3 linked regions of the Rattus norvegicus genome follow. The main gene of each other region encodes a partner of the protein of the gene in region 3 in a complex. Links are inferred from orthologs where the notes say so. Each region holds a gene or a part of one and is shown on either strand. Other genes may lie near its edges.

What was found. Proteins that work in one complex are often made in the same cells at the same time.
Region 1: Nup153 (region 3) and Nup188 share a complex: the UniProt entries of both Homo sapiens proteins name them as parts of the nuclear pore complex. The link is inferred for Rattus norvegicus from reciprocal best matches to the Homo sapiens genes NUP153 and NUP188.
Region 2: Nup153 (region 3) and Nup93 share a complex: the UniProt entries of both Homo sapiens proteins name them as parts of the nuclear pore complex. The link is inferred for Rattus norvegicus from reciprocal best matches to the Homo sapiens genes NUP153 and NUP93.

The regions. Positions count from the first base shown.
Region 1 is NC_086021.1:33,954,253-33,961,903, forward strand, and holds the start of Nup188 (nucleoporin NUP188 homolog), read left to right. Parts: upstream 1-3,559; 5' UTR 3,560-3,576; coding exon 3,577-3,608; intron 3,609-7,651. Other genes in the region: Dolk (dolichol kinase), read right to left, coding at 1,558-3,168. UniProt on the Homo sapiens protein: Component of the nuclear pore complex (NPC), a complex required for the trafficking across the nuclear envelope. Required for proper protein transport into the nucleus.
Region 2 is NC_086037.1:10,789,846-10,797,285, forward strand, and holds the start of Nup93 (nuclear pore complex protein Nup93), read right to left. Parts: upstream 4,093-7,440; 5' UTR 4,030-4,092; intron 1-4,029. UniProt on the Homo sapiens protein: Plays a role in the nuclear pore complex (NPC) assembly and/or maintenance. May anchor nucleoporins, but not NUP153 and TPR, to the NPC. During renal development, regulates podocyte migration and proliferation through SMAD4 signaling.
Region 3 is NC_086035.1:18,203,683-18,210,550, forward strand, and holds part of Nup153 (nuclear pore complex protein Nup153), read left to right. Parts: intron 1-683; coding exon 684-830; intron 831-3,570; coding exon 3,571-3,617; intron 3,618-4,024; coding exon 4,025-4,154; intron 4,155-6,868. UniProt on the Homo sapiens protein: Component of the nuclear pore complex (NPC), a complex required for the trafficking across the nuclear envelope. Functions as a scaffolding element in the nuclear phase of the NPC essential for normal nucleocytoplasmic transport of proteins and mRNAs.

The sequences.
Region 1 (7,651 bases), on a different chromosome or scaffold from region 3:
GAGAGGGGAACTTGTGAAGATAGGGCTTGTTACTTTTCATTGGCCCCAGAGGAGCAGCCCAGTGCTCTGAGGGGAAGGGCTTGGCAGTGATTCCCAGAAGTAGACATTCCTGGCTTCTGACCTGTTCATACCTCCCCTGGCCTGTTCGGGGAAGGCCTTGGGAACCCTGCTGTTATCTTCTCACATGGGCAACTGTCCATTTTAGTCTTAGTCAATGTCTACCAAGTTCTTGCCTGGGTCCAGGCTCTGTGTGAACCCTAGGAGGAGACTCAGGCAAAGGACTAGACAGCCTGCACCCACACCTACAGTGGAACTGTTACAAATTCTCCAGGAAGTCCCCAGCCTCTGTGGATCTGGACTCTGTACCTGAAGAGATTAATACAGGTTTGGACAGGTCTGGATTGTAAGGACTGTTGGGTTCATCCTAGCTATTATTGCCTCCCTCCGGGTAGCAGAGGCAGGGTGGGGCCAGCTTTCTTCAGCCTTTTTTTTTTTTTTTTTCTTTTTCCTTTTTTCCGGAGCTGGGGACCGAACCCAGGGCCTTGCGTTTGCTAGGCAAGCGCTCTACCACTGAGCTAAATCCCCAACCCCTTCTTCAGCCTTTCTATGGACACAGACTGACCTATGGCCTCCTTTCCGTTCTCCTAGGCAAAGCAGGCGACACTTCATGCGTTTAGCTCTTTCCCTCTTGGGATTTTCCTCTGAGCGAAGCCAGGAGAGGAAAGGTCACTCTGGCTTCCAAGTACAAACTATCTTCCTTCTATCTTGGCTGAGATGGGATTATCCTTGGGTAATCCTGACACTTTCCCGTACTGACCCATCATGGGTGGGTCACAGTCTGAATAATTAAAATTATCATTAGCTTATGTGTGTGTGACATCTGCGAAGGTGTGCGAGAGCCAATATGCCCATGTGAATGTTGAAAGAAAAGTCTGTGGACTCAGTTCTCTCCTTTCACCTTTGTGGGGGTTCTAGGTATTAATCTCAGGTCCTCAGTCTTGTGTTGCAAGTATTTGTATCCACTGAGCCATCTCACTGTCACCCAGGCTGAATACTTTAGATACTTTACACAGCTCCTCTCGATAAAGACTTCCAGTATCCAGAGAGTCAGCCTGTCATTATTCCTATCTTAAAGACAGAACAATTGAGGCTTAGACTCTCTTAAGGCCATACAGTTAAGCTGTATGGCCAAGGATTCTGATCAGATTTATTTGACACAGAATACCCAAGCATTAAGCTTTCTGTTCTGCTGCCTCCAGGGTGTGCTCCAGCCATGCCCTACCCAGATTATAAAATGGGGGCTCTGCAGCACATTCAACTTCCCTGAATTGGTGTGTATGCCTTTAGCCTTTTTCTGTATTTTAAATATCAGCAACAATAAAACCAGGAAAGCTTTGCTTCTTTATTTTAAGTCTGAATCAACTTTCTGGCTTCATCTTCTGGGAGGAAGCTAAATCTGCCTTTCATCCCTTAGTTCTTGGTGTCCAAGCGGCTAGCTGCTGTGAGGACCATTCATTCTCCCAATTTCCGTTCCCCCATTACAGCTGCTATTCGGTACTAGGCCATCAGCAAAATCAGTAGGTAGAGGGGCAACAGGAGATTGTCTATCTGAGTTGTGTATGCTTCCAGAAGCGACACAGTGCTGATGGACCCCAAAATCCAAGCATAGCTGTAGTTCAGGTCTACTCCACTGTCAAAGATTAGGATCAGAGCCACAGAGATGATTTGTGCAAATATAGATGTCATAGTTCCCTCGAATGTTTTCTTAGTTCCAGGCCAGCGGATCTCCCCCATGGTGCTGCCAAATATGGAGGCCACAGTATCGCCCACACCCACAGCCAGGACCCCAGCATAGGGGACCAGGGCTCTTGCTCCTCCGAGGCTGCCCTTCTGTGCACAGGGTCTGGGGATCAGCCAAATGGGAAGAGACATGCCCAGAAGCAGGTAGATGTGCGTCAGGATGAGGGGCCCGCTGTCCCGTTCATCCAGGAAGAGGGACAGAAGGCTGCGCAGAGTGTGACCCAGGGGCTTGATTCTGAAATAGCGCACATACTCCAGGAAGATGAAGACGGCCAGACACACGGTGGCGGCCACATACAGCAGTGGCCGGTCAAAGATGATACCGGGGATGTAAGTGGCCACCACAATGAAGTGGAAATACTTTCTGGTAATGGTAGGAGCCTTGTGCTTCTTGGACTCAGAAGATGACCGCTTGGCATTCTGGTACAGCACCACCAGGCAGGCCATGGTGGCCAGCAAGGACCAATAGGCTAGGAGGTAGATGCGAGTTTCTGTGTAGAAGAGGAACTGAAGAAGCCAGAGCAGGGGGTTCCTACGAATGAGCCAGTGCAGCCAGGGCAGAACCACACCAAGGCCCAGCACACAGGTCATGAGGTGGAAGAAGATAGAAGAGGCCCAGGTGCCCGAATCCATGAAGACAAAGAGGGTGCTGAAAAAGACACCCATGAGCACCATCCCCACCACCACCACCAACAGGAAGAAGTCCACTGGGTCCCCCTGGCTTTCAGTCAGAGAGCGCTTGATGAGCTGGTTGAGGACGAAGCTAATGCCACCCAATACCAGCAGTGCCTCCCCAGGAGTGAAGCAGCGGGGCAGCAGGTACAGCAGGATCATGTTGAGATAAACGAATATTAGCAGGACTTCCAGGACCTCGATCACCTCGCCCACACTGAGCGAGTGCTTCATAATATAAATGATAATACCTCCGGCCAAACCCGAGATGGCACAAGTATTGGTGGGCACCGGGCGAGTAATGCCCAGTGCCAACACCGAGGAGAAGAGGGCCACTGCCATGCCAGTGGCTGCAACCACAATGCCGAAGCGCTCGAAGTATGGGTTCCCTGCAGTCAGGCAGCGCTCCTTCATGACCAGCCCAAGCAAAGGCATGACCATGGAGGCCGGTAGTAAGCCACTGTTCGCGGACATTCGGAACTGGAAAACAGCATTCCCCTGCTGGAGCAGCCGGTCCCACTTGTACTGGACGTAGAAGGCCTGCACTGCTAAGGCCACGGCGCACCAGGAGTATCGGTCCCACACTGCAGCGTGGATGCTCAGCACCACTGCGAACACCACTGCAGCCTCCGCCAGCACTGACCCGCTCAGCGCAAACCCAGACTCCGGGGCTTGGGGAGGGCACTGTCGGGTCATGTCTCTAGGCCTGGGTATCTTGGGAGAAGAAGCTTGGTGACTAGGGACGCCTTGGCTTCTGGAGCCCTCAACCCGCCAAGCTGAGGGGCAGCAATTTCACCCAGGCAGCGACCTTCTCCAGTTTCCAAAAGAGTGCTTCACCGCGGGCCACTCTGAGGCCTGGGAGCCGGCGCCCAGTCACCCTCCACCGCTTTCAACCTACGGTGTAGCAGATGTTTGCACTCTTCACCTCTTACAGGCTCCACTGCCACCGCCGCGGACTCGCCTCACACCAGGGCAGCGCCATCTTGACAGCCCCTTCCTAGCCACGCCCACCACCACGTGATTGAAAACCCAGGCCCCCGGTCTGGCGGCGCACGGTCACGTGGGTGCAGCGTATAGGGGCGGGGCTGGGACGCGCGCGCGAAGATGGCGGCTGCCGCCGGTGGGCCGTGTGTGAGGTACGGAGTGGGGCGCAGCGAGAGGGTGGGGGGTGGCCGTGAGGCGCGGGGTGGGAGCTGGGCCGGAGTTGGAAACGGGACCCAGCGGCAGTGACGGAGACGGGCCCGGGCTGGGTGGACGGACACTTGCCGGGGAGGCGGTTAGGTCCAAACCGTTCCCGCTCGCGGGGCTGAGGACACTTTTTGGAGCGGGCCGGCCGCTCTCCTTTCTTCGTGGTCCCTATGCCTCCTGTCTTCCCCATACACCCACGCTTCCTGCACTACGCTCCCTGTAGGCACTGCGGGATATTTCGGGGTCTTCTGGAAGATCCACCCCACCGCGATCCCTGCCTTGCTGTCCCTGTGCCCTGCACCGCCTCGGGTGTGCCTTGCCCACGCCGCGAGTTCTTCCCGCGAGCATCCTTAGTTCCCGCCTTCTTTTATTTTTGACTAATGCTGATATTGATTCAATCAGCAGGCATGCCTTCATCTTCCAAATGATTCCGGGTACTGTGCCAGGGTTCGGACACAAGATGAATTACCCCAAAACAAACATAGTTCTCACGGAGTTCGTTCGTTCTTTCTTTCTTTCTTTCTTTCTTTCTTTCTTTCTTTCTTTCTTTTCTTTCTTTCTTTCTTTCTTTTCCTTTCTCTTTCTTGTTTTTCTTTTTTGAGGTAAGATCTTTTGTATCACGTGCAGGCCTTGAGATCCCTGTTTTCTTTGCCTCCTTGGTGCGGAAATTACAGACATGGATTGCGAGAGCCCCACTTGCCTTTAAAGAGCGCTTACTAGCGCCAGACCCCGGGAAAGTGCCTTGCAGGCCTTATCTCATTCATTTCCCACAACTAGGAGACGCACCTCCTGTTACACAGGACTAAGAAGTCCAGTTCATACATAGTCAGTCCCCCTCGTCTGCCCCTCGTGATAATCCCCATGAGGATTCAGATCGAAGGCTCTAAAGCCTTAATCAGCCCTCTGTATGTATCCACGTTATAGATGAGAAGTGTCTTCACCTCTCCTCCTCCCCTAAAATGTAAACATTCCCTGTTGCCCGGAATTGACTCTGCTAGTTTTATTTGCTATTGTTCCCTGCTGAACCCTTAAACACCCAGACAAACATGTAAATATCACATTGCCTATCTCTCTCTACAGTAGCCTCTTCACCGTCCACGGGCAGCAATTTCTTTGGAGTTTTCTGTGGATAAAGTGTGATTCTTGTGGGGGCCAGTTTGGTTTTCTTCCCCCTGTTGTTTCATGCTAGGCCTTGTATCCACAGCTATGGAGAAATACTTGTATGAAAACTTTAAAAAATGAATTTTTTTTTTTCGGAGCTGGGGACCGAACCCAGGGCCTTGCGCTTGCTAGGCAAGCGCTCTACCACTGAGCTAAATCCCCAACCCCGAATTTTTCAAAAGGAAAGGAAAATTTTGACTTGCCAGCAGGCTTTTAGCTTTCTGTGGAACTTCAAACCTATCTTTGAGGGAGGGAGGACTTTAACTGAACCTAGGGTTTTTATTTTACTTTTGTTTTGAGGTCCTAGGGGTCAAACCCAGGGCCTCATGAATGCTAGGCAAGCACTCTAGTACTGAGTCACAACCTGAGGGCACCTAGCAGTAGGATTCTAGGTACTGCCTTGGTCTATTAACACAATGACTTTTAGCACTGAAAAGTATGTGTCTTAGCAGTTTGGAGTAGTGGGCTGTGTTTCAAAAGATCGAGATCTGGAGCAAGAAAACGTCCATCCTGGTTTTTGTACCTACTGCTTTATGACTGGTCTTAGAAGTCGCCTTGTCATTTCAAGCTCCTACTTCTCCAAATGGAAATCGTCTTAATCCTTGTGTGCAAGGTGTGTGCACACTTGTGCTTGTGGAGGCTGTCGGGTACTTTACTTGGTCCATCCTTATTTTACCAAGGCGGGGTCTCCCTCCCGATGAATGAATTTGGAGCTTGCTAATTCAGGGCGTTCTTTGGTCTTCTTATCAGATGCTTTATCCATTGAGCCATCTCTGTAGTCTTGTGTTGTTTAGAGGCGTATTGGAGCAACCATGAAACCTGATGATCTATGTAGCTGTGACCGGTCTGGCAGTGTGACATCCCCCCTGACCCCCCAGTCATTCTGTTGTTGCATTTGCAGGTGTGTGCAGAGAAGCCAGCACCAGTGGCACTGGAGTGACACTCAACCACACAGAATCCTGTGAAAGTCACTCAGAATGTGGCAGAAAGTTGGTTTGGACATTGGTATTTTGATGTCTCTTGGTGTTCTTCAGTTAATGTGTTCGTAGAGCCTGAGTAGTGCAAGGGTGTGAAAAAGTAAAGATATTTTTGGAAAGCTATTGCTGGACCTAGTGTGGTGGTGCACACATTAAATCCCATCAGGGCCGTGGTGGTGCCCACATTAAATCCTAGTAGAGGTAGGCTGATCTCTGAACTCTAGGCCAGTCAGAGCTACACAGTAAAACCCTGTCTCAAAAAAGTTAAAAGCTATTGCTACTGAGTTTAAGTCCTAGTTTACAAGAGAGCCTGTGCTTTCTGGAATCAGGTAGACAGTGGCTGTGTTTGTTTCTGTGTAGAATATAACTGTTTCTTAAAAAGACTGGATTGGGGCTGGAGAGATGGCTCAGTGGTTAAGAGCACTGACTGCTCTTCCAAAGGTCCTGAGTTCAATTCCCAGTAACCACATGGTGGCTCACAACTGTCTGTAATGGGATCTGATGCCCACTTCTGGTGTGTCTGAAGACAGCTACAGTCTACTTAAATATAATAAATAAGTAAATCTTTAAAAAATAATAAGAAAAAAGACTATGTTCATGAGAATAACTCAAGTAGCTCAGTGTTATTTTCCATCCAAAAGTCTTTAAAATGTTCTTTCTTGAACATTTTATTTATTATTTTCATGTCTGTGAGTACTTTGCCTGCATGTATGTCTGTGTATCACCTTTGTGTAGTGTCTTGGATCTGAAATCACAGAGGGTTGTAAGTCACCTTGTGATGCTGGAAATTGAACCTGGATTCTGTCTAAGAGCAGCCAATGCAGCCCCTTCCCCCCAAAGTTTCAACCAGATGGATGTCTCTAAGGAGAATAAGCAATGTCTGATGTGCTTTTATTTATTTTTAGATTTTATTTTATGTATATGTGTGTACACCAGCAAGAATTTATGTGCACCAGGTATGTTAGTGGCCACAGAAGCCAGAAGGTGTTGATCTTCTGGAACTGGAGTTACAGGCACTTGTGAACTGCTTGGTGTGGTTGCTGGGAACCAACCCCAGGTGCTCTCTAATAGCAGTCATCTCCCCCACTCCTCCCTCTCGCATTCTCTCTTTCTGTTTGTGCCATGGTGTGTGTGTGCAGGTCAGAGGACAGCCCCCAGAATTCTGTTTTCTCCTTCCATGGTTTTTGGTTTTTCGAGATTCAAGACAGGGGATCTCTGGGTGGCATTGGCTGTCCTGGAACTCACTCTGTAGACTGGGCTGGGCTTGAACTCAGAGACCCGCCTGGCTCTGTCTCCCCAGTACCTAAGTTAAATGTGTGTAGCACCACCTTCCAGACTCTCTTTTCATCTTAATGTGGCTTCAAGGATTGAATGCAGATCTCCAGGCTTGAGTAGCAACTATCAGCAAGTGTTTGTGCCCGTGAGCTACCTGGCTGGCCCTTTGCCTCTTAGAAATAAAGTTCTATGTTGTTTCCTAGAATTTTAGATTAGTGATCTGTATGTTTGTATATTTTTACATTTATGTATTTATTTATGTATTGTATGTATGTTGGTGTGTGTTTGCTAAGGAGTGCATGTGGAGGTCAGGAATACCTTGCCAGAATCTGTTTTTTTCTTCCACTGTGTGTGTGTGGAGGGGGAGTTGGTCCTGGGATTCAATTCTTTAGGCTTAGTGGTAAGTAACTAGGTAATCTTTACCCATTTATAGTCTATCGATGCATTAAAAAAACAAAAACAGGGGGCTGGGGATTTAGCTCAGTGGTAGAGCACTTACCTAGGAAGCACAAGGCCCTGGGTTCGGTCCCCAGCTCCGAAAAAAAAAGAACCAAAAAAAAAAAAAAAAAAAAAACAAC
Region 2 (7,440 bases), on a different chromosome or scaffold from region 3:
CTGCCACATTGTAACCACTGAGCAAATAATAGCATTAAGGCCAATTCAAGTCAACCCAATACTATGGTTTATATATAGTTGAAGCTATCCAAGACTCCAATGTGGCAATACTCAGATGTGATAGGACCTTTAAGGAGTTGAGCCTAGTGAGGAGCCCCTCCTTGTTCCTGCTCCCCCCCCCCAAGTGTCTGTCATGACACCTGCTAATTAACCTGAGTTAATTTATTCTGAAAAGACATAAATACCTATACGAATCCACTTGTTTATTCTACCACTATCACCCTACTCCAAGCCACTCCATGCCTCATCCAAGATCACAGTAGCTTCCCTATTCCTATACTGACCTCTGCTACCCATATGTTCTCTTCCATATATATGAAAGGGGGAATAAAGGCTAAGCCTTCAATAATTCCCATTACCTGTACACTCAAGTCCAGCCTAATGTGATAATAATTGCCCGCCTATGATCCCGACTACCCAGAAAGCTGAGGCAGGTGGTCCTGTAGCATATATGAGCTCTGTGTGTGCTGAGATCTCCATCATGTGTCCATGAATCAACCCTTGCCCTTCTGTTCCCACTCTTCCCCATGACTATATAACCATATGGCCTCCTGCTGGTTTTCAAATATGCTAAACTCAAGAGCTGTCACTGCCCTCTGCAGGAACCACTTCCTCTGCAGCTACAGAGCATTTGCCCCTAAATGTGGGCGAGGCCTATCCCCTTACTCAATTCAGGTCTCTGCTCACGGGTCTCCTTTGTGAAGATGCTACTAAGACGCTCCACATAAAGGAGTCCCACCATTTCTACGGTTTATCCCATAAGAAGTGCATGTCAAAACCAGGTCTTCTAACAGTGTCCTTGAGTCTGGCAAGCTTGTCCTGCTTTTTTTTTTTTTTTTTCACTGCATGAATTCCTAGTGCAATGAACAAAAAGTAACTAATACACCAAAGACACCCGAAAACTACTGGAGGGAGAAGAATAAGGTTATTCCTTTAGTTGACCTTACAGATCAGCACAGGAATGTAGAACAGAAATTTCTGGAGGTGCTTGAGGTTTTCCTGGTAGTCAGTAACTGTGTACTGGAGTTAGATTAAGCTACTATTTGAGCGCATTGGTGGAGTAAAGTGGCCTTTAGTCCTTACAAACAGAAGGCCGCTGACTGCGAAAAGTGAGTTCAGCGCAAGCGTGAGGATGCGAGTTTGAATCCCCAGTACCCATGTATAAAGCTGAATGTGGTGGCATCAATTTGACACCAGCACTGAGGGAGGGATGGACAGAGACTGGTAGATCTTGGGTGACTCATTGGTAAGCTGGTCTAGCCAATTGGTAGGCTCCAGGTTCAGAGAGAGTTGCTGTCTCAAAAAGCAACAAAAACATCCAACGCCAACCTCAAGACTCCTGACCTGGGACATCCACAAACACGCATGGGCATGCATCTCACCACCCCCAACACACACACACACACACACACACACACACACACACACACACACACAATCAAATGCATACAAAGTATAAAGCTACAAAACATTTCAACCTTTAGGTTATTTGAAACAGAGGAGAGAGAACTATAAGAGGCCATAAAATAAGGCAAAAAAACAAACAAACAAACAAACAAACAAACAAACAAAACTCCTGCATCTTTAAATTCTAATTCTTTCTCCAAACCAATTCTTTCTACTCGTCTATCTGATAGCTACTCCTGACTGATCTATGAGTGCCAGCGACAATTCTAGTTCCTCATCTTAGGTCCCCACAACAGTCAATTTAACCAGAAACCATCTGGCTCCCCTCTCCCCCGAGCCCAGCCTATCTCCAAGTTTACTTCTCATACCTCATAACGAGTCACACCCTCACCTTTCCTCTCTGCTCTGACCCTCATAACTTCCTCCAATTACCTCAACAGCCTAAAACTTCCCATTTCTTCTAACCCAGTCTTGCTGTGGCCAAAGTGGATATTCCAAAATACCTCCTACTTTAGACCATCAGGGGCACCTTCAACCTCAGGTTGTGACCTGGCTGCATGCTCTGTAGAATAGACAGTGCCATGCACCATCTTCGACTCCTCCCCAGCTGTACCCTGACAGTTCTCTATGCCTTAGGAAGCTCTGCATAGTTTCCTTCCTTCATGCTCCAGTCCATGTCAAGTACACTCACATCCTCACCAGACACAGGGAGCTCCTAAGCATACTGCCAAGTCAGAGGGCTGCTCTAACCTACCCAAAGGACTCCCTAATTATACTGAACGTTCTTCCCTAGTGGAGCAATTGCAACCACTTCTTCTCAAACATGTCTTCCTGTAGGGAAAGGTTCACAAATATTTAACCCTGAATCCTGAGCATCTAGCTAAGCCTGGCACACAACAGAACTAAAAATGTGTTTGCTAATTAAAATGACCAGTGACCATAACAGACTTGGGTCTTCTTCCTGATCTTTACTCTGTCACACACACACACACACACCCACACTTCTAAATGTAACTACCTCATAGGCCCAGGGGTTAGAGAGATGGCTCAGCAGTTAAGAAAACTTACAGCTCTTTAGAGGACCCCAGTTTAGTTCCCAGCACCCACATCAGTGATTTACAGCTAGCTGTCTGTAACTCTAGCTCCAGGGAACCAGACACTCTCTTCTGGACTCCATACATATATCCATATACATAAAAGTCACACAAGAAGGAGGGGGGAGGGGGACAGAGACCCCAAACTCACCACAGCTCCAACAGTTCATCTCTCATGGTGTGTGTGTGTGTGTGTGTGTGTGTGTGTATACACACACATACATACATATACACACACACATATATGTACATATGTATATACACTCATATGTATATATAATATATATTATATATATGATGTCTTCCCAAGAAACAAGCCTGTCTCATTCACCACCACATTCACAAGCCTATAATGATATCAATAACATTCATTTATTTGGTATTTATTGAGCACCTACTTTATTGTGTGCCAGACCCAGGTTCTAGGTAGGCGCTCATGTTCTACAGCGGAGAGACAAGACATAGGTCGAGTAGAACCTAAATATTGGAATACAACTAAGGCAGTGAAGACAAGGAGTGAGGAAAGGTTTACACTCTAAATGCCCCTCTAGAGCTGGCAAAACAGACATCCAACCACAAGAACTAAGACCTGAAGTCAAAGCATGTCTAGCAGTGGTAGCGGTGGGGGGGGGGGGGGGTGTAACAGACTCTGAGAATGTGGGTCACATTATTTAAAAGCCTTACAGCTCACTATGGGGGGGGGGCTTATATTATTGTTGTTATTATTATTACTATTATTACTAAAGCACTGACCTTTGCTTGTGCTGAAAGTCATCTAGGGAACTAGGGGTGGATGATGATGATGATGATGATGATGATGATGATGATGATTATTACTGTTATTGTTACTAAAGTGCTGACCTTTGCTTGTGCTGAAAGTCATCTAGTGAGGTAGGGGTGGGGCAGGGTCTAATGTAGACCAGCCTGGCTCCAACTCCCTTTGACAGTGACACCATGCCCGGCATGCTGTGATTTTCTTTTAGAAGGGACCCAATATATTTGGGCACTCCTTACAGAAGATAGGATACAGGGTACCCAGAAACAGAAGAGACAACCGGAGTGGCAACCATTAGCATCCTGTTGGATTATCCGTAAAAGGAGACAACAGTTGACAGGGGTTCGCTGGGTGGCCTCCCTTCACCCGGAAAAGCCATTCTCTAGAAGAACGCCCCCCACGACCCACAGAGGGCAGCCAGGCCTAGTGACGCCTGGCAGCCGTGGGTGGGCGTGGCGATAGTGCACCAGTAGGAAGGACCACGCTCAGAAGAGCCTAGTCACAGCACTCGGTGAGCTGTCGCCGGTCGGCGTGCCCAGCCAGCCACCACAAGAAAGGAAGCGCGAGCCTCGTGGCTACGAACATAGGATGGAGTTCGAGTTAGGCTCGGGGTTCTGCTTCGAGGCCAGACCCCGAACTCGGGCCAGGCCCAGGATCGGGGTCGCGTGGTCGCCCACGCCGCACATGCCTTACCTGGCTCTGCCGCCTGCTCGCCGCCAGCTCCCGGCTACTTCACTACGCCGCCGCCGCCGCTTCTCGCGCCGCTCGCCCGCGCTTCTTGATTGGCTGAGGCGGTCAGCTCCCAGAAGCCCCTGCGCGTTGCGCCGCCAAGTGAACTTTATGGAGATCCGCAAGAGAACACAGACGTGGGCGGGGCTGGGGCGGAACCAGGGGCGGAGCTGTCGCTACAAGTAAGTCAAGGGAGCTCCGCCCTTCTCCCGCCCACGTAGTTCAGGTTGACAGTACTTGAGAAAGCATTTCCGCAGTTCCCACAGCTGGACCAAACCAGAGAGCTCAGCTACTCGCTGTAGAGCTCTAGGCAAGTGCCTGGGCTTGTTCTAGGTGTTGGGGACACGGTGACTTCCGCAGCAGACAAGATCCCTGACTTCAAACGATTCTCAGCTTGGCCAGGGAAACAAAATATAGTGAATAAATACAGGAGTAATTAGGAGAGCTAAGAACAGAAAAGCAAATTAACTGAAGAAAAATGGTTGGGTTACCAAGGAAGGCTTCTCTCAGGTGACATTCTGACTAAAAGGTGGAAGCTAAAAACATGTTTTGGAGTTTTTAAGGGAAAAGTCTGTGTTTTGGCAGTCTGAACAAGCAAGCTAGGTTGGCCGCCTGCCCCAGTAGGCCAATTACAGAAAAGAACAGTGGTGAAACTTCAAAGAGATTTACTTCAGTGTAGCCATGTTGGGAAGTGGAACAAAGTGTGTCACTGGGATATATAAGAATCCTTCTGGAGGTTCTTAGTTTAGTAAGTAAAAAGAAATTTGAAAACAGACCCAGAAGGAAGACAATTTTGCTGGAAGTTTGAGAGAAAAATAACAGTACAGGCGGGTTGGGGATTTAGCTCAGTGGTAGAGCGCTTGCCTAGGAATCGCAAGGCCCTGGGTTCGGTCCCCAGCTCCGAAAAAAAGAAAAAGAAAAGAAAAGAAAAGAAAAGAAAAGACAAAACAGTACAGGCAAGCTACAGATCTCAGCAACTGCTGGGAGGAGAATGTGTGTGTGTGCGTGTGTGTGTGTGTGTGTGTGTGTGTGTGTGTGTGTGTGTGTGTCCTTGTGCCCAAGGGGGCCAAAAAAGGTCATCGGATCTGCCGGAGTGGTTGTGAGACATGGGTACTAAGAAGGAAACCCAACAAGTCCTTTGCAAGAGAAGTATGCTAAGCCATTGCTTCAGCTCCCATAATAGCGTTTACTTGTTAAAGAGGCATTTTTTGGGTTGCACAGTCTCAGACATGTCTAATCTTTCAGTGAAGGTCACCCACCTGACATAATGAGGTACATGTGAACACAGGCCTAGATAAAATTGTCACCATTAATAATTCTAGTTTGGTGGATGCCTGCCTGATAAAGTGTTCTATTAAGCTTTGCCTGATATGCTTAGGGAACCTAAACACACTTATCGGTCAAGGAAGCCCACAATAATTAGCATGTCAGCCGCATAGAACTTCTTTCTGCCTGCATGTGTATGTCTATACATTTGTGTATGTACATACATAAGTGTATGGGCAGCTATGTGCACACGTGTTTGGAGGTCGGAGGTCGCTGTTGCGTGGTTTCCTCTATCCCTTTCCACCTTTTTTTTTTTTTTTTGAAGCAGGCTCTCTCACTGAACCCAGAGCTCACCGATGGGCACAGATAACTAGCCAGTGAGCTCCAGGGATCCACCTGTCTCTGCCACCCTCCCCTTAGTGCTAGGGTTAAAGGGGCTTCCCACCACACTTGGCTTTTACTTGGGCACTGGGGATCAGAACTTAGGTTCTCATGTTTGCTCAGAAGGTACTCTACCAACTAAAATGTCTGGCCAACCATAAAGGTCTTTACTTTTATGACATTAATTAATGTGCCAGGAGACAGAGAGAGAGAGACAGAGAGAGAGAGACAGAGAGAGAGAGAGAGAGAGAGAGAGAAGAGATAGCTCTGTGTGTGTGTATGTGTGTGTGTGTGTGTGTGTGTGTGTGTGTGAGTGTGTGTGTGTGTTCCCAGGTCCTTAGACTTGGTAACAGTGTCTTTATCCGCTGCACCATCATGCTAGCCCCAGAAATTCTGTTTTGTTTTAACTTCATGGATATGAGGGTTTTGAGTGCATGTGTGTATGTGTTCTGTCTTTGTGGGCCAGATGCCCACAGAAGCCAGAACAGGGCATTGAATCCCCCTGAAACTGGAATTACAGACAGTTGTGGGCCAGCCTGTAGGTGCTGGAAATAGAACCTGGGTCCTCTCCAAGAACAGTGAGCACTCTTTATACCACCAAGCCAATTCTCTAGTTGCCCCCCACACCAATAAGTTCTTTATAAATTAACCCAGCTTCTATTTTTCCAGCAAAATTTAGAACTTTTGGCTCAGTGAGCTCTACAGCAGTGGGTCTCAACCCTCTACTGTGACCCCTTAATACAGCTCCTCACGCCGTGGTGACCCCCAACCGTAAAATTACTTTGTTGCTACTTCATGATATAATTTTTCTACAGTTATGAGTTATAATATAAATATCTGATATGTAGGATATCTGATATGTGGCTCCTAAAGGGGTCTCAATCCACAGGTTGAGAACTGCCAGTCTACAGAAATGACAAAAATCAATACTTTAGGACTTTCTCTTGCCTATGTAGGGAAGGGGAGTGGTGACCACAAGTGATCATTTTCTAATGTCTAAGGTGTGTCTCATGTACAATAGTAAATCTCATCTCGTCAAGCAAATAAATATTGGCCAGTGTCTTTGTTAGGGTTTTACTGCTGTGAAGAGATACCATAACCATGGCAACCCTTATAAAGGGAAACAGTTAACTGGGACTGGCTTACGGTTCAGAGGTTTAGTCCATTATAGTCATATCGGGAAGGATGGCAGCATGCAGGCAGGCATGGTACTGGAAAGGCTACATCTGGATTGGCAGACAGCAGAAAGAAAAAAATGACAGTGGACTGGGCTTGAGCTTCTGAAACCTCAAAGTCCACTCTGACACACTTCCTCCAACAAGGCCACACCTACTTCAGCAATACCATACCTCCAATAGTGCCACTCCCTATGGGTCTATGGGGGCCATTCTCATTAATTAATTTATCCACCTTATATCCTGACCACAGCCTCCCCTCTTTTCCCAGCCCCCACCTCGCACAGCCACAGCCATTCCTCCCATGCCCTTCTCCTCTGAGAACAGGGAGGCTCCCTGGGGTACCAACCCACCCAGGCATATCAAGTCACTGAAGATTGGGCACATCCTCTCCCACAGAGTCCAGGGAGCCCAGTAAGGCAGGCAACAGAGTCAGGGGCAGTCCCCTGCCCCTGTTGTTGGAGGACCCACATGAAGACAAAACTGCACTTCTGTTGCTTATGTGCCAGAGGGCCTAGGTCCAGCCCATACATGCCTTGGTTGGTGGCTCAGT
Region 3 (6,868 bases):
AGGAGAGAGCTATAGAAACTTCACAGAAAGCTTCTTCCTGGAAACCAGCACTATTGGCAGTTGTGGCTGAGTGAATAGACTATTCATGGCATGACAGTTTATGGGCACAGTGGATGTTCTTGACTTTTTAATAATCTCACACCTATAGGAGTTTTACTATATTTCAGGTTAGCAAAACACTTGTGTACTTAGACCCAAAACCAGTTCATGTCTCAGTCTGGAAGTCTTAGTATAATGTTTTATCAGTTAGACTCAATAGTATAAGGCCTTTGGTTTTGTTTGTTTGTAAAATGACTTTGAAGAATTTGCATATGTGGTTAGGGATTAGAAAACTTTGATAGCTAGTTTTAAATTTTTAATAAATGATGTTATTTGTGTATATTGTTCTGCATATATTGTATGTATATGTACCATGTACATGCCTGGTATCCTTGGAGGCCAGAAGAGAGTTTCAGATCCCCAGGAACTTGAGACATAGATGATTATAAGCTGACTATTAACTATTAGGTCATTTTGTGTGTGTGTGTGTGTGTGTGTGTGTGTGTGTGTGTGTGTGTGTGAGAGAGAGAGAGAGAGAGAGAGAGAGAGAGAGAGAGAGATTGATATTAACTATTTTGGAATAATTTGAGCTATACCACTGTTAAATAAGATTTTTTTTTTTTTGATTTCTCTTTTCTTATAAGGTGGACTCTCAGTATCCCCCTGTTCAGAGACTAATGACCCCAAAGCCAGTTTCCATAGCAACAAATAGAACTGTCTATTTTAAACCATCTCTGACCCCATCTGGTGACTTAAGGAAGACTAATCAAAGGATAGATAAAAAGAACAGTGTGAGTTTGATTGTTTATTCTGTTTTCTTAAGACAGTGTCTTGCTATGTAGCTGGTCTGGAACTCAGTAGATAATTAACCTCACGTTCGTTCATATCAGTTACATTGCTTCGCCTTTCAAGTGCTGGGTTATATAGGTGGATCAACCACCACATCTGTTTGAGTGTATTTTTTATCCATTTATTTTTTTCTTCTTGAACTAGTCTTTGAATATTGGCTGGATTGAATAAGGAAGAAAATGTAAATTAGAGGCCCACTGGTGTCATCTGGTAATTGTATGGTGTATGATGTCTGTAAACTGGTGAAGAGTTAGAATTGATATCCCTTCAGAATAGCCTTTACATTGATCAAATCCTAAATTTGTATGGGTAAATTTACTGCTTAAATAAGTTTTGTTAGGTTTACTTATCTATGAATTTTATTTGTGTGACTGATATATAAAAAGTTTCAGATGTCATCTCATTTGACTGAAGTAATTTTATATTAACTCATCTTTAAAAAATATGTATACAGTTTTATCTGCTTCTCTAAACTAGAACCCAAAGTTTTAGATACTGCTTTTGGGTTTTTCCCCCTAGATCACATAATGGTTTATTTTTTTGAGATGTTTTATGTACCATAAAGTTAAGTATTTGATGCTTATTCATTAGTGGTTTTAGAACATCCATAGGCGTTGAGCCATAACTGTGTTAAGTTGTAGGACATTTTCATAATTTCCTAAACTTTTTTAATAACTGTTGTCAGGGTAATGGTAATGATTATATACTTGTAGCAGATACTATTGTTTTTAAAGCAGGGTATTATTTCATAAAATGGTTTTATGGAACTTATTACTTGGGCTCTTTGGAGTCTTTTCAGAGTTTGCTCTAATGTATAATGCTGCTGTAGACTTACTTAGGTACACTTTTGTGGGTATGAGTTTTTATTTTTCTTAGGTCTTTGCCTAGGAGTGGAATTGCTAGGCATGTTTTTAAAGAGACCAGGCTAGTTGTCAAAATGTCTCACATTTTGGGTTACTTGTCATTTACTTTAGAGAAAGTTTTTTTAGTTTATCGTTTTACTGTTTGTGCCTACACTCTTTTCCAGTCTCATAAAAACAGCTCAGTTTCTTGAAAAACATTACATTTGGTAGACTAGTGTAGTGATTACCCAGGTACTAGCTAATATTAGTTTATTAGTCATTAATTTTTTGTCGTATTAGGGTATCTTTATTGAACCTTCCTATTTTCAAGAGTAAAAAATATTATTATTAATAATTAGTCAAGCCTAATTGCTTGTCAAGGCTTCCAAGGCAAGTGCTTTACCACAGAGCTACATCTCAGCTTGTAAGAAAAGTACTAGTATTTTACTAAATTTGTCTCTTTCCCCCCTCTGTTTATTTTACAAATTAGGATTCTCTGTAGTAGATAATAGAGTTCAAACCCAAGAAGAGAATCTTGGTGCTGCACAAAACTATAAATTTTATTTAGATGTTAAATACTGACAGACATCATCAAGACCGTGACATGTAGTTGTCATCTGTCTTTGTCTTCATTAATCTAGAATATTTTTGAAAAGACGAGTTAGTTACTGTATAGAATGCACAGCGCTAAGAGATTGTCCTGGGTGGGTCTAGATTCTGGTTATTCCTGGTTATCCACTGAAGGAGGGTTGAGCTCATCTTAGGGCTCAAGTGGAACTTATCCTGTTTTTTTTTTTTTTTAAAGATTTATTTTTTATTTTATGTATATAATAAGTACACTGTCACTGTCTTCAGGCACACCAGAAGAGGGCATTAGATCCCATTACAGATGATTGTGAACCACCCTGGTTGCTGGGAATTGAACTGAGGACCTCTGGAAGAGCTGTCAGTGCTCTTAACCACTGAGCCATCTCTCCAGCCCTCTCCTGTCTATTTTTGATCCCATTAGCATTATTGAGAATTTTTGCCTCAAGCTGTTTTTGATTGCACTGTGGTAGACTTTTAGTTCTATTGTTCTTTTTCCATCTATTGATTGGCCCTTTGCTGTAGAGAATTTTCTGTGTTTAACTGAATCCTTAATTTTAGAGTTGCTTCTTTGATGCTTATCTTCCCCTGTATTTGCCTTTGAATGGATTCTGTGTCCTTTTATTATGCCCCATCAGTTTTGGGTATCTTATTTTTTTATATTGCAAGGTAATTCCGAATCTTGTACATTTCTGGTTCTCTGATAGTTCTGATGAGTTGGGAGTACTTTATATCTCAGATTCTGTCCTTGTAAAGTTGTCTATCATTTAGTACAGCAAAAAGGAAAGTTGTCCCCTAAAAGTCAGTGTGACCTTTGGACTAGTAGATGTGTGACATTTTGTATATATGCTCATATTACAGTGCACAGTGCAGTTGTGACCTTTGGTTAGCATTCAAACACAATGTCTAAATTACATATACCAAGGCCATTAGAAAATCAAATTTTTAATTTCAAATAATAAAATTTATAAGTAAAAGGATGTTAAGAGAGTTTGAATCTATGGATGTAGCTTTCAGTGGTGGAAGTACTTGCCTTGCATTTGATAAGGCTGAGTTAATCACAGCACTGAAAAAAAAAACTAAGCCAGAAATGCTCACCTGTGATCTCTGCACTTGATGGGTGGAGGCAGCGGGAACTAGATCTCAAGTTCAGTCTGAGCTGTATACGGAGTTCGAGGCACTCCTCATTATTACCCCACTCCCCAAATAATTGTCATTTTTTAAATAAAATCCTCATACTATTTTTTTCTTTCAGACTGTAGATGAAAAAAATATCTCAAGACAAAATAGAGAGCAAGAAAGGTAATGTCATCATATACTGCAAATGGATTTCTTTATATTTGTAGGGTTCATATTTACAATAGCCTTGAAGATAAAGAAAATTGAAACGTATACTTAGGTGGTGAGCGAGATGCTCAGCAGGTCAGGGTACTCTACCAAACCTGAAACCTGTGTTTAGTCCCACGTAGTGGAAGGAGAGACCTGACTGCCAAGAGCTTTCCCACTAACCTTCACAAGCTGCCCATACTAAGATCATGTGTGCTTACATGCCCATGAATGTATGAATACATAAATAAATGCAGAAGAAATTTCAAAGTATATTTGGCTATACCCTAATTGTTTTGTTAGCTGATCTGGTGTTTGAATATTTAACAGTTTCTGCAACAAAATATTGAAATTGTTCTAATTTTCTTTTTTTTGTTTGCTAGTGGCTTTTCATACCCCAATTTCAGTATTCCTGCAGCCAATGGTTTATCTTCTGGAGTAGGTGGTGGAGGTGGCAAGATGAGAAGAGAGAGAACAACACATTTTGTTGCTTCTAAACCTTCAGAGGAGGAGGTAGGCTCACATTTTATAGAACTTTGAGAGGGTCGGGGTGAAGTAAGGCCTATAGGAATGGGGCTTGAAGATTTGGAGTGAAGAGTATCGACCATTGAAACCATCCTTTCGACCATTGCTCTAATACCCAGCCCAGAGGCCTCAACTTCACGAATTGGGTAAAATAACTTTAAAAAACCCCTCCACCTTTTTATTTTATGTATTTTTGTATGTGAGATAATTCCCATCGACATTATTGGATTCTCTGGTTGCTGCCTTCGGGTTTTGCTTGTTTCTCAAGTGTACATACGATTAACACTGTGTACTCTCTCTGCGATGGTTCATGTTTAATGGAACAATGGAATTTACATTTCTCTGCTGTTTATCCTTTGTGCAGATTTACTACAATTAGTCCATTCTCTCATCAGGGTACATTTGGGCTGATCCCCAGTATGTGCTAAGGTGAATATTGATACACTTCTCCTTTGCCATGTGCAGTTTGGTCTGGAGGATATTTACCAGGAATGAGGTTTTTGGACTACAGGATTTGACATGTCTTTAAATGTGTTGTTGGTCTTGGCTATTATTCTCTTCACAACACTCCATGTGATCATAGATGGATCTTAATTTTTAAAATTTTTCCTTACTAGCATTTGGTTTTGGTCCATTTCTAGTGTGATAGCTAGAAAAAAAGTCACCCGGGCTTTATTTTGCGTCTTGTTTCATGGGAAGGAGGAATCTTTTGTATGTGTTTTGTGACCATTTAGGTTTGTCTTTTATTATTTTCCTATTAATTAGGATGAGTTCTTGGACTGGTGAGGTAGCTCTGGGTAGAGGTGCTGCTGCCAATCTGGTGACTTTAGTTTCATCCGTTCCCATGGTGGAATAGGAGGTCTGAGTCTGCGGGTTGTTGGTTAACCGCCACATGTGTGTGTTTACATGTGCACACACACAAACACACACAGAAGTAGGTAAATTTGAAAAAGAATTGATCTCTAGGTATTGTTTAGATATAGAACATAGAGACTAATTGAAGATTGGTTAAATTGACTTTCTGTCTAGAGATTGCTCATTTTATTTATTTATTTTAGCTACTTTTTGAGTTGGAACATCCCGTTTCAGTCTTCTTAAAATTGATTTCATCCAAGCTAAATCATTTTAGGCTTTCACCACCTTCTAAGATGTTCAACTTACTTGCTCCTTTAATTGGAATGTAGGGCTTTATAAACTTTTATGTGTAGGGGTGCTTTGACTGCGTGTTATTTCTTTGCACCACACACATGCAATGCCCATGGAGGTTTGAAGAGGGCGTTGCAGTCCTTCAAATTGGAGCCATGGATAGTTGTGAACCACCATCTAAGGTTGGGAACTGACTGAACTCAGCCCTCCTGCAACAGCAGCCAGTACTCTTAACAAGGCAGCCATCTTTCCAGCCTTGGGGACTTAATACTTTGACTTACTTGTTTCCAGTTACAATTTCTCATTATGTTTATTGTATTTTAAAGTTTAAAACTTATATTTCATTAATAGGGATTTTTTTTCTAGTATGTGATTGTGGTCACATGTGTGGAGACCATTGGACAGCATCAGGCATTGATCTTTGTCTTCCTCTTTGTTTGATACAGGATCTCTGTTGTTTGCTGTGTTCATGCCAGGCTAGCTGGCTGGTAACTGCTGGGAATTCTCATCTATGCCTCCCGGTTTGTTATGGGAGCAGGGGGATTACCAGATATTTGCTGCCTGTGGTTTTATGAACTCAGGTCCTCACACTGGTCAAAAGAGCTTTTTCCCACTGAATTATCTTCCTCAGCTCAGTGTTTGTTGTTTGAAGTTGAATTTAAAATCTGTCAGTGTTTGCTTTTATAGATTTTTGTGCAGTTTTTTCACTCCAATTTTTTCCCCTGGTTAGTTTTGCTTCTTGAGTACCAGAATGAAAACTCCAGCAATGTAACTTTGTTAGGATTATGCTAAGGGCTTTGGTTTAGTTGTCTGGGGGTTGTTTTTGCTTGTCACTGGAGTGTTGTAAAGGGACATGTTCTGCCTTTTTGAAAGAAAACTTGAGCTTTGAATGCCCTTGGTCATACAATATGTACATTTTGTACTTTGTATGGCATACTCATTTGGTTTTTTCCCTAAAAAGTATATTTATGTGTGTGAGTACACTGTAGCTGTCTTCAGACACACCAGAAGAGGGCATCAGATCCCATTACAGATGGTTGTGAGCCACCATGTGGTTGCTGGGATTTGAACTCAGGACCTCTGGGAGAGTAGCAGTCAGTGCTCTTTTTTTTTTTTGTTGTTGTTCTTTTTTTTCCGGAGCTGGGGATCGAACCCAGGGCCTTGCGCTTCCTAGGCAAGCGCTCTACCACTGAGCTAAATCCCCAACCCGCAGTCAGTGCTCTTAACCACTAAGCCATCTCCCCAGCCCTTGATTTGCTTTTTTAAAAAAATGTTTTAGGTGTTCCTGTATGGAGTGTGCGTATGTGGGTTGTGCTCTTGAGACATGTGTGGCATTGTTTCATAGTGGAGCCCTAAATGTAATACAGAGGAAGACATTTCCCCCATTTTAAAATACTTTTTTTTTTAGTTGGTGTGTGTGTGTGTGTGTGCGCGCGCACGCGCGCACAGTCAGTGTTTGCTATGGTGGACAACTTTTAGGAGGAGGTTTTCTTATACCACTCTGGGTTCTGGGGATAGAGCTCAGGTCGTCAGACTTCTCCAGTGTGCAGTTTTGC